Linked DNA regions of Coturnix japonica. The protein of the gene in region 1 purifies or fractionates together with the protein of each later gene. This does not show direct contact. Links are inferred from orthologs where the notes say so. Each region holds a gene or a part of one and is shown in the gene's direction. Other genes may lie near its edges.

The links. The genes of interacting proteins can lie anywhere in the genome.
Region 2: the proteins of EFTUD2 (region 1) and PHB purify together in Homo sapiens (affinity purification with mass spectrometry; 3 studies listed by BioGRID, with this or other methods). This does not show direct contact. The link is inferred for Coturnix japonica from reciprocal best matches to the Homo sapiens genes EFTUD2 and PHB1.
Region 3: the proteins of EFTUD2 (region 1) and EAPP purify together in Homo sapiens (affinity purification with mass spectrometry; 4 studies listed by BioGRID and IntAct, counting the BioPlex papers as one, with this or other methods). This does not show direct contact. The link is inferred for Coturnix japonica from reciprocal best matches to the Homo sapiens genes EFTUD2 and EAPP.
Region 4: the proteins of EFTUD2 (region 1) and PRPF3 purify together in Homo sapiens (affinity purification with mass spectrometry; 3 studies listed by BioGRID and IntAct, with this or other methods). This does not show direct contact. The link is inferred for Coturnix japonica from reciprocal best matches to the Homo sapiens genes EFTUD2 and PRPF3.
Region 5: the proteins of EFTUD2 (region 1) and EEF1A1 fractionate together in Homo sapiens (co-fractionation; 4 studies listed by BioGRID, with this or other methods). This does not show direct contact. The link is inferred for Coturnix japonica from reciprocal best matches to the Homo sapiens genes EFTUD2 and EEF1A1.

The regions. Positions count from the first base shown.
Region 1 is NC_029542.1:776,150-780,339, reverse strand, and holds the start of EFTUD2 (116 kDa U5 small nuclear ribonucleoprotein component), read left to right. Parts: upstream 1-1,390; 5' UTR 1,391-1,528; intron 1,529-2,002; 5' UTR 2,003-2,003; coding exon 2,004-2,108; intron 2,109-2,351; coding exon 2,352-2,517; intron 2,518-2,679; coding exon 2,680-2,758; intron 2,759-3,968; coding exon 3,969-4,044; intron 4,045-4,190. Other genes in the region: CCDC103 (coiled-coil domain-containing protein 103), read right to left, coding at 819-961. UniProt on the Homo sapiens protein: Required for pre-mRNA splicing as component of the spliceosome, including pre-catalytic, catalytic and post-catalytic spliceosomal complexes. Component of the U5 snRNP and the U4/U6-U5 tri-snRNP complex, a building block of the spliceosome.
Region 2 is NC_029542.1:2,952,415-2,956,591, forward strand, and holds the start of PHB (prohibitin), read left to right. Parts: upstream 1-1,377; 5' UTR 1,378-1,477; exon of another isoform or gene 1,478-1,583; intron 1,584-1,934; 5' UTR 1,935-1,972; coding exon 1,973-2,060; intron 2,061-2,435; coding exon 2,436-2,597; intron 2,598-3,081; coding exon 3,082-3,224; intron 3,225-3,382; exon of another isoform or gene 3,383-3,494; coding exon 3,495-3,611; exon of another isoform or gene 3,612-3,638; intron 3,639-3,970; coding exon 3,971-4,066; intron 4,067-4,177. Other genes in the region: ATP-dependent RNA helicase DHX8, read right to left, coding at 320-431.
Region 3 is NC_029520.1:32,516,431-32,520,680, reverse strand, and holds the start of EAPP (E2F-associated phosphoprotein), read left to right. Parts: upstream 1-1,450; 5' UTR 1,451-1,510; coding exon 1,511-1,584; intron 1,585-2,515; coding exon 2,516-2,697; intron 2,698-3,506; coding exon 3,507-3,605; intron 3,606-3,960; coding exon 3,961-4,084; intron 4,085-4,250. UniProt on the Homo sapiens protein: May play an important role in the fine-tuning of both major E2F1 activities, the regulation of the cell-cycle and the induction of apoptosis. Promotes S-phase entry, and inhibits p14(ARP) expression.
Region 4 is NC_029540.1:1,894,025-1,897,977, reverse strand, and holds the start of PRPF3 (U4/U6 small nuclear ribonucleoprotein Prp3), read left to right. Parts: upstream 1-1,153; 5' UTR 1,154-1,280; intron 1,281-3,953. Other genes in the region: MRPS21 (28S ribosomal protein S21, mitochondrial), read left to right, coding at 670-850. UniProt on the Homo sapiens protein: Plays a role in pre-mRNA splicing as component of the U4/U6-U5 tri-snRNP complex that is involved in spliceosome assembly, and as component of the precatalytic spliceosome (spliceosome B complex).
Region 5 is NC_029518.1:74,352,704-74,356,895, forward strand, and holds the start of EEF1A1 (elongation factor 1-alpha 1), read left to right. Parts: upstream 1-1,392; 5' UTR 1,393-1,521; intron 1,522-2,266; 5' UTR 2,267-2,313; coding exon 2,314-2,457; intron 2,458-3,472; coding exon 3,473-3,652; intron 3,653-3,781; coding exon 3,782-4,078; intron 4,079-4,192. UniProt on the Homo sapiens protein: Translation elongation factor that catalyzes the GTP-dependent binding of aminoacyl-tRNA (aa-tRNA) to the A-site of ribosomes during the elongation phase of protein synthesis.

The DNA.
Region 1 (4,190 bases):
CTGGCAGGACTCCTCTTTCTCCTGCGTTTTTCCTGGGGTACAAGTAAGATTTTATATCTTTGGGGCTTCCACAGGAGAACTCTTCCATTCTTATAGGCCTTCTTACTCAGCCATCCCATTACACCGACGTCTGTAACTAATTGCAGCAGCCTGGACTCAGCAGCTCATGTCATTCTTCTCATCCCGTGGGATGAACGTCTGTGCCTGTCGCTCGTTAGTCCTCCCAGTAACGAGATCTTCCAATGGGGTCAGGGCTCTGCTGGCCCTCGTGAGTGGGGAAACTGCACCCACGGAGAGAAGCTGTTCTGCTCTCCTGTGGATGGCTCCTGGCTGCTGATATCACACCACATTGCAGGCTTGAGTACTGAGTACTTGTGTACTGAGCAGGAATGTGTTTTTTGATCATATTCTAACAACAGAACTGCGGCACAGAGTCCTTTTACACGGACAAGCAATGCCATAAATGCCATTTTAAAGGTTTCCCTTTACTCAGAGCTGACAGCACGACCACATTAAGGCAGAATGAGGCTTCCAGCACTACATGCTCCAGCATGGGATGAGCCTGCCATGTGTTGGTCAAGTCCTGGATGTATCTACAGATCTCTCTGTGGATGTGAGGGGATGGGGCTGAGGTGGAGGACACTGGGGGCGTCCCGCACCACCTGCCCTCAAGGATCTTCCTGCTGCCATTCAGGAGCCCTGGGACATCCAAGGCAGGGCAGGCGATGGCTCCTGCCCCGGGGAGGCCCAGCAGCAGAGCAGGAGGAGCCCTGCGGGAAGGCCCAGCGTCTGACAGACCTGGGGGGCTCCGCTCCCACCTGAACTCCTGGTACGACCCCAGGCGCTGCCTCACGGCGCGGAGCTTGGCGTTATTCTCCCTCTCGTGCCTCTCGTCGGCCTCCAGCGCGGCCCGCAGCTCCTCCCGCAGCGCCGCCATGTCCACAGCTCCGCCCGCGTCCATCGGCTGTCGCGACAGTCACGACAGGAGCGCGACAAGCTGTGGGGATACGGATAAGGATAAGGATAAGGATAAGGATACGGATAAGGATACGGATAAGGATAAGGCTCCTGTTGTGACAGCGATACCCACTGAGGTATCACCTCAGCGGCAGCGTGGGCCCTGCTGCCATAATGGCTCGCAGCCGACCCCTCATGTCGCGATAGGCCGCCATGCCGACACACAGCACCCCGAGGGATTCCTGTCGCGATATCCCCCGCTGGGTCCCTCACTGGGCCGCTCACCCTCATTCCTATCGCGACAGGCCCCGCCCACGAGCCCCGCTGACCCGGCAGCCTCAATTCCTATCGCGACAGGGCCCAGCTCCGCCCGCCGCGCCCGCTACTCCCGTTGTCATGGAGACAGGGCCGCCTTCAGGACCCAACGAGGCTGCCCGCGGCGCGCCTGACTGAACCGCGCCGGCAGCAGCGCCGCTGTCGAACCGCCCGGGACAGGCGCCATGGGCAGCCCGGGTCCTTCCGCTGCGCTGTCGGCGGCGCCAACGGCGGAGAGTGAGCGGGGAACGTGAGGGTGAGTGAGTGGGGGGGTGTGGGGCGGGATATGGGGCAGGGGTATGGGGTATGGGGTATGGGGTATGGGGTATGGGGTATGGGGTAAGGGGAGGGAATAGGGGGTGAGGCCAAGAAATCAGGGCTAAGGGCTGGAGCCGGGGCCTGGGCCTTGGGGCTTAGGGCTTAGGACCGGGGACAGGTTCTGTGAGGCATGTTCTGGTATTGAGACCGGTTCTGTCCGTGGGGCCGGTTCTGTCCGTGGGGCCGGTTCTGTCCGTGGGGCCGGGTCTGTCCGTGGGGCCGGGTCTGTCCGTGGGGCCGGGTCTGGCTGTGAGGCAGGTTCTGGATGTGGGACCCATTCTGGATATGGGGCCGGTTTGGGCTCTGGGACTGAGGCTGGATCTGGATCTTGGTCAGGTTCTGGGGCTGGGATTGAGGCTGGGTTGTAGTTCCAGGGGTTCTCCCGGCTCTGACCCCATCTCTTCACCCCCAGCATGGATACTGACCTGTATGATGAGTTTGGGAACTACATCGGGCCAGAGCTGGACTCTGATGACGAGGATGATGAGTTGGGCCGGGAGTCCAAGGACCTGGATGAGGTGAGTGCGTGGCTGTGGCAGGGCTGTTCTGTGCTGTGCAGCCACACACAGCAGGTGTTAAGCATGTCCTGCCCCGTGCCTGGCTCCCATTGCAGGGAAGGCTCTGCAGGATGGAGCGTGCCCTTTGTGCTGTCAGTTCCCTGTTCCTCCTGATGTGTGACACCAAGATTTACCTCCAGCCACAGTTCAGGCTTATGAAACACTTTGGTGCTGGCAGCAGCTCAGTGTGAGTGTTGGTTGCAGCTCGAGGATGACGACGATGATGATGATATGGGGGACCACGATGAGGACCACCCTGGGATGGAGGTGGTGCTGCATGAGGACAAGAAGTATTACCCCACTGCTGAGGAGGTCTATGGGCCTGAAGTGGAGACCATAGTGCAGGAGGAGGACACGCAGCCTCTCACTGGTGAGTGGGGTTTAAATCATCTCATTTGGTCCCCCCATAGGAAGAGAATCTGTCAATTCAAAGCTGTGTTTTTTGTCTGCGGAAAATCCCCATTCGATGTTTGGAGGTGCTGGGTTCAGGTCACCCATAACAGTGTTTTATTGTTCTTTCTTTTGTTTTCAGAGCCTATTATTAAACCTGTGAAAACCAAGAAGTTCTCTTTGATGGAACAGACGTTACCAGTCACTGTCTATGAGATGGAGTAAGTGATGTGCAGAGTTTGAAGCTTTGTTTCAGGCCATCTGTGCTGCAATTTCCTCACTTCTCATTGCTTACAGGCAGGGTGGGGAGGCAGAGGGGTGATCTATATGGAGGCGGGAGCTTACAGGGGGGCACTGGGTTTGTTCTTACTAACAGCAGCAATATAAGCAAGTACAGCTGGCTCCCTGAGTCTGAACCAAAAAGAAGAGGAAGAAAAGCACAAGGCCAGCTATTTTACAGCTATTTTGCCATCCTCGTAGGCAACACGGTGCATTTCCTATTATTTTTCTGATCCCTTTGTCCTCTGTTTACTCCATCAGTAATTAATTCTAACTCCTGCTCTTCCTTGATGTCAATGGTTTGGATGGGACCACGCAGAAGTCCCAGTGGGACTTAACCAGAAACCTGCAAGCTCGCTATTGATTTCACATTTAGCCTTGGTTTAAGACCAATAGGCAAGCATTTAATTTGTATTCCTATCGATTTCTGTGTTTTTTAAGCTCTTAATCAAAATGTTGTATGCTAAAAAGCCTGCTTCATAAGTGAAAATTAAAGTGTTTTTGAAGAAGGAGATTATTTGACCGGACTTACTATCCGCAGATCCATAATAATCGATCCTTGGCTGATAGCTTCCCATTATTTTGAAGAGTAGCTGCTAATTTAGGCTCTCAGTTCCATTTTGGCTGGGATCTCTGCAGAAGTGACCAGCCCATCAGTCCCATCTCGTTGGTGATTAAAAACCATTTAAGTTCTATGACTGTTCCTTGGGTCCCTGGGAACATCAGTGTTTTAAGACCTGAAAACCAGAATTAAGACCTGCAAGTTAGAATTAATAGTCTGTGGAACCCTGTGGTTACCTTTTAAAAGTGTGTGGGGTGTTGTTATCCACCTCTGTGGTTTGGTTGACTACCTGCCACCATTGGAGCGGAAGCGTTTCCTCCTCCGAGTTGCTCTAATACTGTCTAGAAGAGAAGAAAGGCGTTCGGAGTATTTAATCTCTTGCAGTTTTACCAACTCCGTCTCCTCCCACCCACTGCCATCTGTCCAGGACTCCAACTCTCTTGTCCTCCCCATCTGCAGAGTGGGATTCTTCCTCCGCAGGGCATGAAAGTTTGGAGAGGATTCAGAGGGGCCCTTGGGTGCAAAGCGGCGCCTACTTTTCTTAGACACAGCAGAAGCCTCCAACAGTCTTTTGTGCTTCATCCCTCCAGTTTCCTGGCAGATCTGATGGACAACTCCGAGCTGATTCGGAATGTGACTCTGTGTGGGCACCTTCACCACGGCAAGGTAGTGTGAATATCCCACGTGCGTTGGGTAGCAGTAACGATCTCCCTGTTCCTTACTTTGACTGCTGCTCTTTTGACCCCCCAATCCCTGCAGCAGCCTTCTCTCCTGCTCCTGTTGCTCTGCAGTTATTCCTGGCTTTTCTCTCC
Region 2 (4,177 bases), about 2.2 Mb from region 1:
CCCCATAGATCCCCATAGAGACCCCATGGACCCCATAGATCCCCACAGAGACCCCATAGATCCCATAGATCAGGTTGCCCAGGGCCCTGTCCAACCTGGTCTCGAACACCTCCAAGGTGTTCAAGGGCAGCACCCAGATCGATCCATCTACCTACAGAACAGCAGCATCCCCTTCTAGGCGCTCACATCTAAACGTTTTATAATATTTCTTTTAGAGATATATTTTATTCTTCTCAATTCCAAAGGCCTTTCGTTGAAGGCATCATGGCCGTCAGGCCCGGTTACAACCTCCCCACAGCTATCACCCCACCTCACTCACCCAGATCCTTATCGTTGATACCCAGGTGGTTGTCAAGCTCGGTGCAGACCTTAGAGACCAGCGATAAATACTCGAGCTTGGCGAGCTCCTCTAAAGCCGCCAGGTCCGCCATCTTTCCCCCACCCCCACCCCACACACCAGGAGCCACTTCCGCATCCGGGAAGCACCGGAAGTCAAGCTGATCATAGAGAGGATAGAGAGCTAGAGCGGCTCTGTCCGGATCCAATCAGCGCTGGGGGGTGCCGGAAGTGGCCGTTGCTAGGCGACGCTTGCCGCCGCCATGTCGGCCTTGCACTGGGAGGCGAGGCGAAGGCAGGCCGCGCTGGAGCGGCGCAGGGCCGCGTTAATACGGGTGTGTGTAGAGCGAGGGAAGGGCTGGGGAACGGAGCTAGGGCGGCTCTTATAGCCCCATATGTACTTTGCAGTCCGCGGGCTGCTCTAGAATGGATACGAGGCACGGTATTGATAACAGCCCGACGCAGGCATTGCCTCCCGGTGAGCAGAAAGCGGCCCTGGGGTTAAAGGAAGGGCTGAGAGCCGGGCTGGGCTCTACTCAGCTCTACCTTGTTCCTATTATAGAGCCTCAGCCGTATCGTTGCTGCTGCCCGAGTCATCAAGCGTCCAACCCAAGTGCCAGGCTGCCCAATCGCTTCACGGTAAGGAGCTGCCTCAAAGAGCTGAGATCCATCTGTTTAGAAGCCAAAGTAATTTCCCTTTGCATCTATAGGCTATTCAGTACATGCAGCAATGGTGAGGACCACAGACCACAACAAGCAGAGCAAAGCACCGCCTGTGTACAGCACAAGGAGCCATGTCAGCTAAAGCTAAGAGCTAAATAAAATAGCACTGCGCCTCAATGTCAATGGTCTGTGTTAAGCATTAAGCTCCTTCCTCTGCCTGGGCCTGCCCGGCTCTGGGGTTGCAGGCCCAGAGGCTCATTGCTATCAGCGAGCTAAACAACCAATAGGAAGCAGCCTTGCTCAGCATGTGGTACCGCCGCGAAGCTCGCTGGGAGTTGTGTCCTACCCTGTAACTACAATAACAACGAAGAACTACAAGTCCCAGAATGCCTCGTGGAAAGCGCGGGCCAATAGGGAGAGGGCGTGTTGAGGTTGCACGCATGCGCGGTAGGGTGGGAGGCCGAGGATTCATGTGGAGGTCAGGGGAGCTGCGGGAGGAGAGTGGGGTGGGAGGGGGCGGAGGGTCTTGGGGTATTGGAGCTGAGCTGGGGGCTGAGGGTACGAACGAGGCCTTCACCCGCCAGGTCTGTGTCCTGAGAGTCAGAGGCCTCGGGAAACGTGGGTGGGAGGAGGGAGGGGGGGAGAATGGGGAATTAAAGGGGGTTCGAGGTGTGGGGTTCCTCGAGGGGTTTTGGGGGGGGGGAAGGGGGGGATGTGGGGTCTTGGGTTCAGAGTCCAAGGTGATAAGGGGGGGGGGAGTGGAGAGGCCTGTATGGCTGCTGAGGGGCAAAGAAATTGCTATTATAATGAATGATCCCATTTCATGGTGGGCTTTTTGGATTGGGGTTCCATCCCAGCTCTAGGTACACACTAGGGCTGCCTGGTTTTCTCGTTTCCTATAGTTTTACCGAAGTTATGGGATTTTTTTTTTGCAGGAGGTTCATCATAAAGGGGTTAGAACAGCACGTGAGAAATGGCTGCCAAAGTGTTTGAGAGCATTGGGAAGTTCGGCCTGGGGTTGGCTGTTGCAGGTGGAGTCGTCAATTCTGCTCTATATAATGGTGAGTGGGACAGGCTGAGTGTTTCCAGTTCTCTTTATGTCCTTATTATCTGGCTGCTCTGTGCTTTTATTGCTTGTGGTATCTGGGGAAGACAGTGATAAAGCCTCTTTCAGGGCTGTTTTGTACCTTGTGCATTGCATAAGTAGGAGGAATTCAGGCTTTTTCAACACAACTCTCTTGTGAGCAGGCTGAGGGCTCAGTGGTAATGGATGAGTATTCTCTTTTGATTTGTTATTCCTAAGAATATTAATAGCTTTGCCATTTTTACATAGCAAAAAGCCTTAACTAACCTCCATAGACTGTCCCTATGGAAGTTTTGCTGCTGTGCAGATATAACTCATGATGCTACTGAATCTATGTTGTTTTCTTTTCCAGTTGATGCAGGACACAGAGCTGTTATCTTTGATCGATTCCGTGGAGTCCAGGATACGGTGGTAGGAGAAGGAACTCATTTCCTCATCCCCTGGGTACAGAAACCGATCATTTTTGATTGCCGTTCTCGCCCACGTAACATACCTGTCATTACTGGCAGCAAAGGTGAGGTTTGGGACTGGGCAGCTCTATAAGATCCAGGCACTCTGATGTGCACTGTGTGTGTCTCACTCTTCTGCTGCTTTGGAGCTGGGTGGGCAGAGGCATGAGAAAAAGCTTTTTGAAGACACTTATGATCATTAACGTGCTAGAGGACTATAGGAATGAGGGTTTTATCTCTGAACATGGAGATTCTATGAGTGTAGAGTTTAGCAGTCAGGAATAGTTTGATACTTATCCTTTAAATAAAAAGTCTGTGTTTACTGTAGGGTAATTCCCTGCATTACAGACAAACTGAAGCTTCAGTTTAATCTGTAAGGAGGATTTGGATCCCTATGTGAAATATAGTCCTTGGTTAATGAAATACTACAAACCTTTCCTTTGTTAGAAGTCTGAATGTTTGTCTTATTTTGCTTTCCTCTGGAGGGGACAGCTTCAGTATATCTCCTGCCCATAAGGTTTAATGCTAAATTTGTGCCTGTTTCTGCAGATCTACAGAATGTGAACATCACGCTGCGTATCCTGTTCAGACCCGTGACTGCGCAGCTACCCCGGATCTTCACAAGTATTGGGGAGGACTATGATGAGCGTGTCCTGCCCTCCATCACAACTGAAATCCTCAAATCTGTTGTGGTAAGAACAGCACAAATGCTGGGGTCAACCTGTCGCTTCTCTTTTGTTTTAGCACTAATGAGACGTGCTGAATTGTGGAAAATGTGAAGCTCTAAAATGAGGCTTCTCTTTATACCCCTTGGCTCTAATGTGCAATACAGAAGAGTTAAAACTGTATCTATGCTGATTGCTTCTCTGTCGTTTTAACTACTTGGCTTTATTTTCATCAAGTTGGGTGACAAGTAGAGCATCTGAGAGCTTTCTTCTCACTGTTGTCCATCCTGACTTCAGGCTCGCTTTGATGCTGGAGAATTGATCACTCAAAGAGAACTGGTCTCCAGGCAAGTGAGCGAAGACCTCACAGAGAGAGCAGCAACTTTTGGCCTCATTCTGGATGATGTGTCCTTGGTAAGAGTTCCCTTTCAGTTTTTCTCCCTGTGCAAATAGGGAAGAAAATTGGTAGAGGATCGGAGAAGAGGTGTGAAAGCTTGTGTATGTGGACCCTGTTTGTTTGCAGTTGCACATGATGCAGTGGTTACAGCTCAAGTCAAAGTAGTTGGTTGTGTCACTGGCCACCTATAGACTTTGTTTTTTAAAAGGATGGAAAGCTTGCTAGGTTTAGTTTCTGTTACACTGCATTCTTTTTTTTAGCGATACTGACTTTCCATCTTCTCTGATAAAGGCAAAACGCCTCCTGCCTTAGACATGTGCTGTTGGTAGCAGTGTTGCTGTAAATGCTGTTGTGGACTGTGATTTCTGCCTTGCAGACCCATCTGACCTTTGGTAAGGAATTCACCGAAGCAGTTGAAATGAAGCAAGTGGCCCAGCAAGAAGCAGAGCGAGCCAGGTTCATTGTGGAAAAGGTACTTTATTCTTTTGAGAAACTTTAGCTTGGAAGTAGTTCCTGGTATCTCAGTCATTTCTTCTCACAGTGAATACTTTAGTCACCTGCCCAGGAAACCAGGCAGGTATAT
Region 3 (4,250 bases), on another chromosome or scaffold:
TACACACTGTCTTAGTTTTTTTCCATTTACTGATATCAAGAAACTTAATCTTTTTTTTTCAATTGTGAACATTTCTTAGAAGTTTTGAAGAACTTTGTGTAACCTTTATAACTATGATTTAAAAGGAAAAGCAAATACATTAGTATGTTTGCCTTAACTTGTAGACTAATCCAATTATTGTAAAATAAACCATGAAATCAATGATTTTTCTAAAATTATGCAGACATTGTATCATCTATAAGCTTAATATTTTCTAGTAAATCAGATAAAGTAGATTTTTCTCTGTTCATCCTGTAAAACAGGTACCAGATTGGTTTAACATGAAGTACTAGCCTGGTAATTTTTCACTTGCATTCTCAGGTTTATCCATTTGCCTCTGTTTGTGACTTTCCTATCCAGCATAGTTTTCACCTTAGTGGCTGACTTGTCATTTTCTTTGGTGGAAATGTTTTTTAAGGGAAGTAGCTGGTTTCTTTCCAGAAGGGGAAAGTAAACTGGCAGAAGGGTGTTCAGTAGAAAAAGGTAATACTGCCCCACTTCTATACAAAAGAGAAGCTTTGCTTCAGAAAACAAGTAGTAAAGGCATACCCAGTAAAGGAATGCCTGAACTGTGTCTCCTTCTGCTAACTGGATTTAGAGCTCAGGACACCTTTTGTTGTTTGAATCCACAGTCTCTTGTTTGTTGAATGCTTTCTGTCTCTCCCTTGAACCGCACGTCCTTTCCAAGAGCTGCTGTTCTCTTGTATAATCTCAGAATGTTGTAAAACTAGGCTTTACTTGATTAATCATTCATCACAGGGGGATTGCTGCTTTGTATGGGTTTGTAGCCCTTCAGCAGAGCAGCAGAATTCCAGTGAATGGCATTTTTTGATTGGAGATGCTGACCAATGTCAGTGTCAGTCTCTGTAATTACACTCTCCAGTACTGCTGCATGGAGGGCTAGGTTTATTTTCCAATAGGGTGAATTGCACAGTGTAGTAAAGCACAGCACTGCACATGGAATGCTTCTAAGACAGGGGTTCCTCAGCTTCACATGCTCTTTGCATTGAGTTGCATAGGCACAGCCTCAGACTTCTGGTTATTGGTGCCCAGTGGCTATTAGCAACTCACATCGTGTATATACTATTTTCTATTAATGGCAACCACACTAATACTGTGCTGTTCATCTTCCAAATACAAAGGTGTAATTCCTAAGGAACTCATCTATAAATAGACTATAAGGGACAAAGACTACAATGTATATACAGTTACCACAATTGTAAATATTTTAAGTAGGACTGTGGGAAACAGTTTTTAGACTAGTCCTCGTTGTTCAGTGTTAGTAGCTCATTAAATTTTTTCAATCCTCTTGGTATTGGGTCTGTCTCTTCAACCTTCAGCCCGATCCCTGCTCGGGGCATCACAGCGGGGCGGTGCTCGGTCGGGGGGGGAACGTGTCCCCTTCCGGGGGGCGGAGTTGGGCCTGCGCCGTGCTGCTTCCGCCGGAAGAAGTGCCGGGAGCTGAGCGGCCATGAGCCGCCTGCGGGAGGAGGATGATCCGTACGTGGTGGAGGAGCCCAGCGACGAGGAGCGAGCGCTCAGCAGGTGCCGGCCGGCTCCCGGGGCGGGCTGGGGGCCGCCGCTTCCCTCTGCTGCAGGGTTTGGTCTGCCTCGTGCTGCCGGTCACGGAGGAGGCCGCTGATGGTGGGAAGGGTCTGTCTGCTACGAGTGCGCTCTGGCAGCCCGGAAGGCAAATGGGATCCTGGGCTCCATCAGGAGAGGGGTGGTCAGCAGGGATAGGGAGGTGATTGTCCCTCTCTACTCTGCTCTTGTGAGGCCCCATCTGGAGTACTGTGTCCAGGTGTGGAGCCCTCAGTACAAAAAAGATTGGAGATTTTGGAAAGGGTCCAGAGGAGGAACAGGAAGATGATCAGGGGGCTGGAGCACCTCCCCTATGAGGACAGGCTGAGGGAGCTGGGCTTGTTCAGCCTGGAGAAGAGAAGGTTGTGGGGTGACCTCATTGCAGCCTTTCAATACCTGAAGGGAACTTACTCCCAGGAGGGGAGTAAACTCTTCTAAAGGGCTGATAATAGCAGGACTAGGGGAAATGGTTTTAAGTTAAAAGAGGGAAGATTTAAGTTGGATGTTAGGGGGAAGTTCTTCACTAGGAGAGTGGTTAGGCCCTGGAACAGGCTGCCCAGGGAGGTTGTTGATGCCCTGTCCTTGGAGGTGTTCAAGACCAGGTTGGACGGGGCCCTGGGCAACCTGATCTAGTAAAGGTGTGTGTTTGGTGGCCCTGCCAGGCAGGGGGGTTGGAACTACATGATCCTTGAGGTCCCTTCCAACCCGGGTCATTCTGTGTGATTGTGTGTGTGTGTGTGTGCGCTGCTCCTTTGCATTAAAACCAGTGGGTTTCACATAAGTACACAGATAAGTGCTTCTCGGTATTTCCACACAGCTCAGGTGGTGATTGTTGATTAGCTTGTGTAGCGAGCTGTTGGTAATAATTAGGCGTGTGATGTTTCAATGTTTGTAGCTCTGAAGATGAGGTGGATGTGCTCTTACACGGCACTCCTGACCAGAAGCGGAAGCTGTTACGGGAGTGCCTGACTGGGGAGAGTGAATCTTCCAGCGATGATGAGTTCCAGAAGGAGATGGAGGCAGAGCTCGACACCACCGTGAGGAACATAGAAGGCACGTGGAAATCACCAGAAATGGGTAAATCATTCTTAACACCTGCTTGCCTGTTAAACTGAGGGTTAAGCGGTGTCCAATTAAGGAGTTGAAGTGTTCTTACAACTGAGGGGGGATTTGTGGTAGCAGTGAGGTGCTGAGACCTGTGGAGAAGTCTTAAAATGGCTCTTCCGTCCTGCAGAAATGGGTACTTGGGTACCTTGAGAGCACTTGTTTCATCCATTCTAAGTTTTTTGGTTATGTTGTTTCTGAACCTCTAATTTCCTGTTTCTCTTTGATTTCTTGTTGAATGATCAGCCCTCTTTTTTCCCCGGTGTCTCTGTAACTTATGTTGTAAGTGATTTTCACGTGTGTATTTGGAAGCCATTCACGCAGTTTGCAGTCTCTTTGTCCAATGGCTCAGGACACTATCAACATTTGGAGCACGTTCTTGCTGAAAGTAATGGCATGTGGTGGGTTAAGATTGCAAATCAGGCGGGGAAAAGAGTCAAGAAAAATATTAATCCCCTAAGTGCTCATAACTATAAGTTACATGAAGTAGTGAAACTGTGTAAAGGATTTATCCATTCTGGACTTCGTATGCTGTTTTGGGTGCTGTAGATTGCTCTGGCATTTGAAGAACTTGTATTTCTTTTACCTGTAAATGAAATCACACAAGTAACATAGTTGATTGGGACATGGGAACAAACTGGGAGAGCTGCAGCTTAATACACACAGATGTACTGGGGGGCTCTTGAGTAGGGCAGCTTGGAAATGATGGTTTGTACTGGGCTATATGCATGTTATCCTTTTGGTGAGATGTTCTTACCACTTCCCTCTTCAATTTAATGCAGGTACTTCTTCAAGCGCTGGAGAGGCTGGATCTGCCACCACTTCAAAATACTATGATGACATTTACTTTGATTCTGATTCAGAAGATGAAGACAAAACTGGTAAGGGTCTGAGGGAGAAGGCAGCATCTTCATATTAGTGCTGTATCTCAGATACAGTAGAATCCTCTCAGGGCATCAGAGGCTATTGCTGAAGAGGGACTTTTGGGGGCAGTTACCAGCCTGTATCATTTCAGCAAAGTTCTAGCAACTTTGTGATGTATCCTAATGTATGTAAGGTGTTTTAAAACTTTGGGGTGGTCTATACAGAGGAGAGAAAAGCTAGATATTTATGAATTAATTTACATTTATTGCAGGTATTGAAAATGAAAATTGGAAAGATTATTTTTTGATTAGTTGAGTAGAGAATCATTGTATGTCTGTCTGATGGAACCTGTGCATGCCCAAATCTCTACAGTTATGCAAGATGTCCTGAAAAAAAGAAAGCATCAGCAACGTCGGATTCCTACCAATGATGAGCTGCTGTATGACCCGGAAGAAGACAGTCGAGACCAAGAGTGGGTAGACTCACAGAGGAGGAGGTAAGAGACTGTAAATAATAGGAGGTAGGATGCTTACGATAAACTGCAAAATTCCTGTGAACATGGTGAATATATAGAAAAACCCTTTGCTGTTGTGTTCACTTAGTGCCTTAGAATTTACAGCACAGGGAATTTAAAAACTTGTAAAATTGTTGCATATATGGAA
Region 4 (3,953 bases), on another chromosome or scaffold:
CGTAGCGCCGGGTGCAAGGGGGATAGCTCCACCAAACATGCACACCGACTTGTAAAATCATGACACAGATCTAGGTACACTTAATACATAGTCAATGATTTCTGATACATATTCAATGATTTCTTAGACTTCTAATACATTGTCAATAGTTCTAGGAATTCTGATACATATTCAATAGCTCTTTAGCATGCAGACCCCCTCTTGTTCTTATCAGGGGGAATGCAACTCCTCATCCGTGAGGTCTCACTCCTTATCTGCATCCTCCCTGCTCTCCCATAGAATCACAGAATGACCGGGGTTGGAAGGGACCTCAAGGATCATGTAGTTCCAACCCCCCTGCCTGGCAGGGCCACNCAAGGATCATGTAGTTCCAACCCCCCTGCCTGGCAGGGCCACCAAACATACACCTTTACTAGATCAGGTTGCCCAGGAGACCCCATAGATCCCCATAGAGACCCCATAGATCAGGTTGCCCAGGGCCCCATCCAACCTGGCCTTGAACACCTCCAAGGACGGGGCATCCACAACCTCCCTGGGCAGCCTGTTCCAGGCTCCCAGGCCCCTTGTTTCTTTTACTTGTTACCTTTAAGTTTCTTTTACTTCTTTCTCTAAACTACCTTTAAGTTTCCTGCTTCACTCTTCAATGTGACTCATGTTCTCCCCCCACAGGATCCTGTCTCAGGATGGCATCGTTGAGTCAGTGAAGCAGGGCCGGTACTACGAGAAGCCGTGTCGCAAGAGGCAGCGCTTGGCTTATGAAGCGTGCAGGCGTGTGTACAACACTGAGATGGCCCGCAAGATCTCCTTCCTCGCCCGCAAGAGTCGCATGGACCCATGGCTGGGCTGCTAACGGGGTTACAGCCGTCTGTCCTCATGGCCGTCTGTCCTTTGGGTGCTGCTGCTGTTAATAAATGCTGTGTGCAGCGCTCTGCTTCGGCCACGCTCGGGTGTTGCGGTTGGGGGTGGGGGGAGAAGCGCTGGGTTTTGGGTTCTGGGTGGCGTTAATGGGCCGGGCTGGTTCCGCTCGCCCCCACGTGGTTATTTCCCGCCACGCGGGGCGCGCCTTTTCCACCGGTTTCCCGCGCTCTCGTGTCACGTGAGCAAAGCGCGCGGCTTCACTTCCTTCCTTCCATTCTTTCCCGGCAGCCCTCAGGCGGGCGGGACGCGCATGCGCAAAAAGATCCCCGCAGCCATTTCCGCTTCCGCCCCGACGTGCCGTCGCCGTCAGGCCCGTTGTCGCCGTCCGGGCCCGGGGCCTGCGGGGGCCGCGCCCCGCCGCGGTGAGAGGCCGCGGGGAGGAGGGGAGGGAGCGGCTGAGGGGAACGGGGGGGGGAAGGACCGTGAAGGAGCGGATCTGAGGGGACTCGGGGCCCGGCCGTGACGCGGGGTTGCGGGGCGAGGCCAGGCCCCTCCGCTTGGGCCCAACGGGAGCGTTGAGTTGATGCGCTTAAACCCGGGGCTGAGGTTGGGGCTGAGGTTCGGGGTTGGGGTTCAATTAACTCATAACGTTAATTAGAGCCGCTAATTGAAGAGGATCCCTTCAGGAGTTGTGGGAGCTGCCGGGGAACCGAAGGGCTGCGGTTGTTGTGGTCTCAGCATCACGTTAACCGTGTTTTGGGAAGCACCGGAGGGATGTTGACAATAGAAGGACACGGGGAAATAGTTTGGAGTTAAAAGAGGGAAGATTTAGGTTGGATGTTGGGGGAAGTTCTTCACTAGGAGAGTGGTGAGGCCCTGGAACAGGCTGCACAGGGAGGTTGTGGATGCCCCGTCCTTGGAGGTGTTCAAGGCCAGGTTGGACGGGGCCATGGGCAACCTGATCTGTGGGGTCTCTATGGGGATCTATAGGGTCTCTGGGGTCTTTATGGGGATCTATGGGGTCTCTATGGGGTCCATAGGGTCTCTGTGGGGTCTCTATGGGGGATCTATGGGGTCTCTGGGGTTTCTATGGGGATCTATGGGGTCTCTGTGGGGATCTATGGAGTCTCCTGGGCAACCTGATCTAGTAACTGTGTGTGTATGGTGGCCCTGCCAGGTAGGGGGTTGGAACTACATGATCCTTGAGGTCCCTTCCAACCCAGGTCATTCTGTGATTCTGTGGGGTTTATGGAGTCTCTATGGGGATCTATTGGGATCTATGGGGTCTTTGGGGTCTCTGTGGGGTTATTGGGGGTTATATGAGGTTATATGGGGTTATGGGGTCTCTATGGGGTTATGGGGTGGATATGGGGCCTCTATGGGGTTAATGGGGTCTATTGTGGGTTGGAACTACATGATCCTTGAGGTCCCTTCCAACCTGGGTCATTCTGTGATTCTATGGAGGGATGAGGGTCAGTGGGTGCCTCCATGTGGGTGTTACCTGCCCGTTTTCTGCTCCTCTTACGCCCTCAAAGTCCCATAGAGCTCCCAGCACCGACGGCTGTAGGAGCGGCCCAATGATACTGATATGGGGGGGGGAGGGAAATACTATTGGAGCGGCTGCTCTTCTTTCTCCGTCCTCGTTAATTGCAGAAGTTGAAGAGGAACGTGAAGTTTAAGCCAAGTGTGAATTAATCCTGTTTAGCCTTTCTGAGCAAGCATGCAGAAAGCTGTAACGCATCAGCAGTGCTGATATGGCATAGTAATCAGTTATCTTGATGCATCTTGACGCTCAATTAACCTCACCTTGAAGTATTACCTGCTTCCAAGCCTGGACTTAATGATGAATTACTGTAATGATGCCCCTTTGGGCTGTATCTGATGCTCCTTTTTAATGTATCTCATTGAAACCTGCTGTAAAAGAATACAGGGCTGCAAGCTGTGTCCAGCCTTCTCCCTATGGATCATTAGGAGCTTCCCAGCTGATGCTTCAGCCCCTTTGCTGCTCTTTCAGATCCTTCTCTTGGCTGTTTTTCAGTCTCTAACTTGAGAAGCTCTTTGTTACCACATCCAGGATCTTTGCTCTCAGCTTTAGTGATGATAAGTGTATTTTGGATGCTGTTTGCTCTCATTTTAAGGTAAAGGCTCCACAAGGTTTCTCCCATGGGCATGAAATGTTGAGGTCAAACATATTTCCTTAAGAAGATTTTCTCCTGTTTCCAGATAAAGGAGACTTGGTTTCCAAATCAGATTAGTGCCTGGCTACGTAATTAAACATTATTGCATCCGCTTCATTGCAGCTTGTGTTAAAGAACTGCTAACGATTAACGGTGGGAAATTATTGTCTTGAGTCTGATTTGGAATTGGATTCAGTAGGAGCCAACAGGGCAGCAGTGCTGATCTGCTGCTTCATTTAAGCAGCAAACACAAAGGTAGTCAGGCATGTGCTGATTGTTAAGTATCAGTAAACCTAAATGAGATTGAGTTCCCCCTGGTCATTATAAGGGAGGCAGCCTAGAGCTGGGAGTGTGCTCGGAGTTGTATGGGAACCTTATGGGAATGGGAAGAACTCGAGGTGATCCAAGTGTGTGTGAGATGTTGCTGTATGTGTTTAAGGTGTTGTTGTACATGAAAAGCTTCTACTTGTGCTCCTGGAAGTGGTTTGTGGGGCATCTCTAAGTGGGCTGGCGTGAGTGTAGCTGACAGCTGATTCAGGCTGTGTTAGCAGGAGAAACCACGGGCTGAAGCAACACCAAGACCAAGCTTTTCTCCTCCTGTGTGTGAGAATCTTAGAATTATAGGTTGGATGTTAGGGGGAAGTTCTTCACTAGGAGAGTGGTTAGGCCCTGGAACAGGCTGCCTAGGGAGGTTGTGGATGCCCCGTCCTTGGAGGTGTTCAAGGCCAGGTTGGACGGGGCCCTGGGCAACCTGATCTGTGGGGTCTCGATGTGGATCTGTGGGGTCTCCTGGGCAACCTGATCTAGTAAATGTGGATGTTTGGTGGCCCTGCCAGGCAGGGGATTGGAACTACATGATCCTTGAGGTCCCTTCCAACCCGGGTCATTCTGTGATTCTGTAATCTGTGTGTGGAAGTG
Region 5 (4,192 bases), on another chromosome or scaffold:
TTATGGAAGCCTTTTAAATACATCCCATAACTGTGCAGTTTCTTATGGGCCGCGTAAGAAATCAGTAACACATTTCCTTTCTCCTCCCCCTGCTGAGGTGCAAGTGGCTGAATGTTTTCAACTATGCTTTAGCAGAACAGATACTTGGACAAACTTATCCATCTAAAAACACCCCCACTGACAGGCATTGCAGAAGCTAAACTAGAAACCATCCTGTAGAATAAAGCTTCGTGGACATGTTTACAGCCTTGGTTTTACAGATGTGGTGTGCTCAGCTTTCTTACTAGTTATTGACCCTTACTCCTCAGCCTGAGCCATGAAAAGTCACTTAATGAAGATGCTGGTACTCTGCCTTCATAGCAAATGCCTTCAGTGATTTAACACCTAGATGTGAGCTATAGTTATATATTGGTGGGTATGGCCCGCGGTGCTGGAGTTCAAGGAGCATTTGGATGCTGCTCTCAGACGTGTGGAGCCAGGAGTGGGACGCGGTGATCCCTGGGGCTGCCTTCCAACTCAGCATGTTCTGTGGAGCCCCTGCCAACAATTGAATGGGATTACAGTTGAGTACACGTAAGTAACTGTAACATGGGTGCATTACATTCTCTTAGAAGAAGAAAACAGATCCTTTTAACCCAGACTGCCCAGGGAGGTTGTGGATGCCCCGTCCTTGGAGGTGTTCAAGGCCAGGATGGATGGGGCCCTGGGCAACCTGATCTAGTAAATGTGTATGTTTGGTGGCCCTGCCAGGCAGGGGGTGATCCTTGAGGTCCCTTCCAAACCAGGTCGTTCTGTGATTAAAGGAATAAAGTATTTGTTTCCCTTCTGGGGTTAATTTCCCACTAGAAAGCCATACAGGTGTTTTACACGAGTACACCCTGCTGGAATCACGAGGGCTTTCAGTGCTGGTGCCCCCGTTTCAGAAGCCAAAGGCTGGGGCTGCCAGCACCTTTGGTGACTCTCATGGGGCACCTGTCAGCCGGGAATGTACGGCATGGGGGCACTCGGGGCAGTTTGGAGCTCTCAAGCAGAAGCCCCGAATTGATGCTGAAGCGAATCTCCTTGGCCCTGTGTGAAACGCGAGGCCACCGGGGATCTCTGCTAGTCTGCAAGTTCCCACCCCGCAGCTCGCTGTCCGCGTCCCCTCGGGCCGCAGTCTCGGGCCTGAGGCGGAGCTCGGCGACTCTATGGCTGCCGTGCCGAGGGGGAGGCGGCGGAGCGGCACCTCCATCCCGGCTGGCCGCGCTCCAGGCGATGCCGTTCAGCATTGGGGCAGCGAGTCCCGACCGGCCGCCACTCGGCCCGGCTCCCCCGGGGCTGGGATCCGCACCCCGCCCCTCCCCGCCGCCCCCAGGGGAGCACGGCGTGCGGCGCTGCCGGGCGGGGCTTAGCGCGGGGCTTAGCGCTGGGCCCGCCGGGAGCCGTGACGCGGCGCCGAGGCCCCGCCCCGTGGCAGGGTATATAAGGGGCGGCGCTCACGCCGTCGTTCTTTTCCGCTCCGGGTTTGCCGACGCCGTGCGGGTGAGGAGCGTGCGGCGGGGCGGGCCGGGCCCGGGGGTGGGGGGAGCGGGGATGCTGGGGGTGCGTGGATGTACCGTGAGCGGGGGGTTGAGGCGCCGCCGTGCAGCGGTGCGTGGGGATGGCGGAGCGGGGGGATGGCGAGATAAGGGGCGGATGGGGGAAGCGGGGCGAGCGGCGGCGTAACGCCGACGTGTCCCATCCGAGGGCTCACGCGAGGCAGCGCCGCGATGAGCACATGGGGCCGCACCGCCGCTTCGGCTTCTTGCGGAGCCGCCTGGCGCTGCTGTGCGGCGTGCGGTGCTCGGCCGTACGCGGGTGGCGGCCGGGGATGGCGGGGCCGCGCCGTCGGTGTGGGCGATGGGGGAAGGGAAGGCCGGGGCACGAGAAAAAAAATGGCCGCCCGCTCTTCCTGCCGCCGTCAGCTCACAAAATGGAGGACGGCGGCCCGGGCGGGGTGAGTCACACACAAAGGAGAGGGGCGGCCCCGCCCTCCGCGCCGCCCCGCGCCGCCGCCCCAGCACGGCCCGGCCCGGCCGCCATGCGGGGAGGGGGCGACGGAGGAGGGGGGCGAGCCGGAGGGGACACGGGCCGCCAACACCGCCCGCCTCTCCCCGCTGCTCGACTCCCCCCTCCCATCCCCCGGTGGGGCGGGGCCGAGCCTACACGGGCCCTCTGCCCCCTGCGGGCGGCGCTGCTGCGGGACGGGGGCGGCCGCTGTAACCGGGATTCCTTCTGGAACTTTCAGGTGTCGTTTCTCTTTGGCCGGAAGAAAGAAGCTAAAGACCATCCGAAATGGGAAAGGAGAAGACTCACATTAACATCGTCGTCATCGGCCACGTCGATTCCGGCAAGTCCACCACCACCGGGCACCTCATCTACAAATGTGGTGGCATCGACAAGAGGACCATCGAGAAGTTCGAGAAGGAGGCGGCCGAGGTGTGTGAGGCAGCCGTGTGGTGGGAGACTGGGGGGAATAAGGGGCAAAAGGAAGGAAACCAGAACGTTTTACTACCACAAGGAGGCGGTTGGGTCGAGATTGTCCTGGTAATTGAACTAGAGTACTCAATCTGTTATGTTAAGGTGAAGTCATCGAAGCATAGAATAAAGAGCATGAAGCTAAATCTGAACGCTTAGAATCAAAATGGGAGCTCCCATCTTCATTCTCGGCCTGGATTGAGAATTACAGAATCGTTAATGTTGGAGAAGACCTTGAAACTCCAACTATCAGCCCATCCCCACCATGGCCACTAACCATGTCCCTCAGTGCCACGTCAGCAGGTTTCTTGGACACTTCAAGGGTAGTGACTCCACCATCTCTGTGCACAGCCTGTTTCAATGCATTGCTGCTCTTATGGAGTAGGAATTACTCCTAATATCCAATCTGGACCTCCCCTGGCACAGCTTTAGACTGTTGTCTCATGTCATCTTGTAGTTTAGTTGAAAATGTAATGATCAGCCTTGTCTCAAGGTGGGAGAGTCTAAGGTACCATTATGTGAACCTGTGGAAGTATTCCAGTTTTCCTTTGTTTTGTTTTAGTGATAAAATAGCACCTCGTAAGCACATGATAAAAGGAAATGCAGTGAATGCTGGGCTGTGTGGCTGTTAAAATACCAACTGGAGCAGGGATGGCATTAGTAACTAAGCTAAAATTTGTAGTGGACACTTGATAGTAGGACTAAGCCTTAAGAGATCCATCATAAAGATGTGTTAGCACAATTAACAAGTTGTCAAGAGGGCTGAAGTGTCAGCAGGTTAAATGACAGAGCAGTTGGCATATCTTGGTAGTAGTGCCAAGTGAACCTAGGCCAGAGTTTTATGAGCAACAGCAGCTTTCAGTGTAAGTCACTCCCTATTAATAACTTTGCTCGTTAGTGTGTATTTCATGGTCTTGGTGAGGTAAATGAAAATATATATCTTGAGGGGTTTTTTTTTCCTGTTTCAAACCCATAGATGGGCAAAGGTTCCTTCAAATACGCCTGGGTCTTGGACAAGCTCAAGGCTGAGCGTGAGCGTGGTATCACTATTGATATTTCCCTGTGGAAATTTGAAACAAGCAAGTACTACGTCACCATCATCGACGCTCCTGGACACAGAGACTTCATTAAGAACATGATCACTGGAACTTCTCAGGTAAGGAAATAAAGGATGTGGGGAGTTGAGGGAAGCTGCTCCTTGGCTGGTTTACAGCAGGGAAATTGCCCATGTGCTTTAGTGTGCGTGTAGGCTTTCTAACAAGGGCTTTTTTCTACCTTTTCAAAGGCTGATTGTGCTGTCCTGATTGTTGCTGCTGGTGTTGGTGAGTTCGAGGCCGGTATTTCCAAGAACGGGCAGACCCGCGAGCACGCTCTTCTGGCCTACACCCTGGGTGTGAAACAGCTGATCGTTGGTGTTAACAAGATGGATTCCACTGAGCCCGCTTACAGCCAGAAGAGATACGAAGAGATCGTCAAGGAAGTCAGCACTTACATCAAGAAAATTGGCTACAACCCAGACACTGTAGCTTTTGTGCCAATCTCTGGTTGGAACGGGGACAACATGCTGGAGCCCAGCTCTAACGTAGGTTTCCCTGTTTTCCTTTTTAATATTAGGAAATGGAACTAGCAGGATCATTAAGATAAGTTAAACAATAGTTAAATACGTGGGTTTGGGTTTTTTCAGTAGTAGTATTTT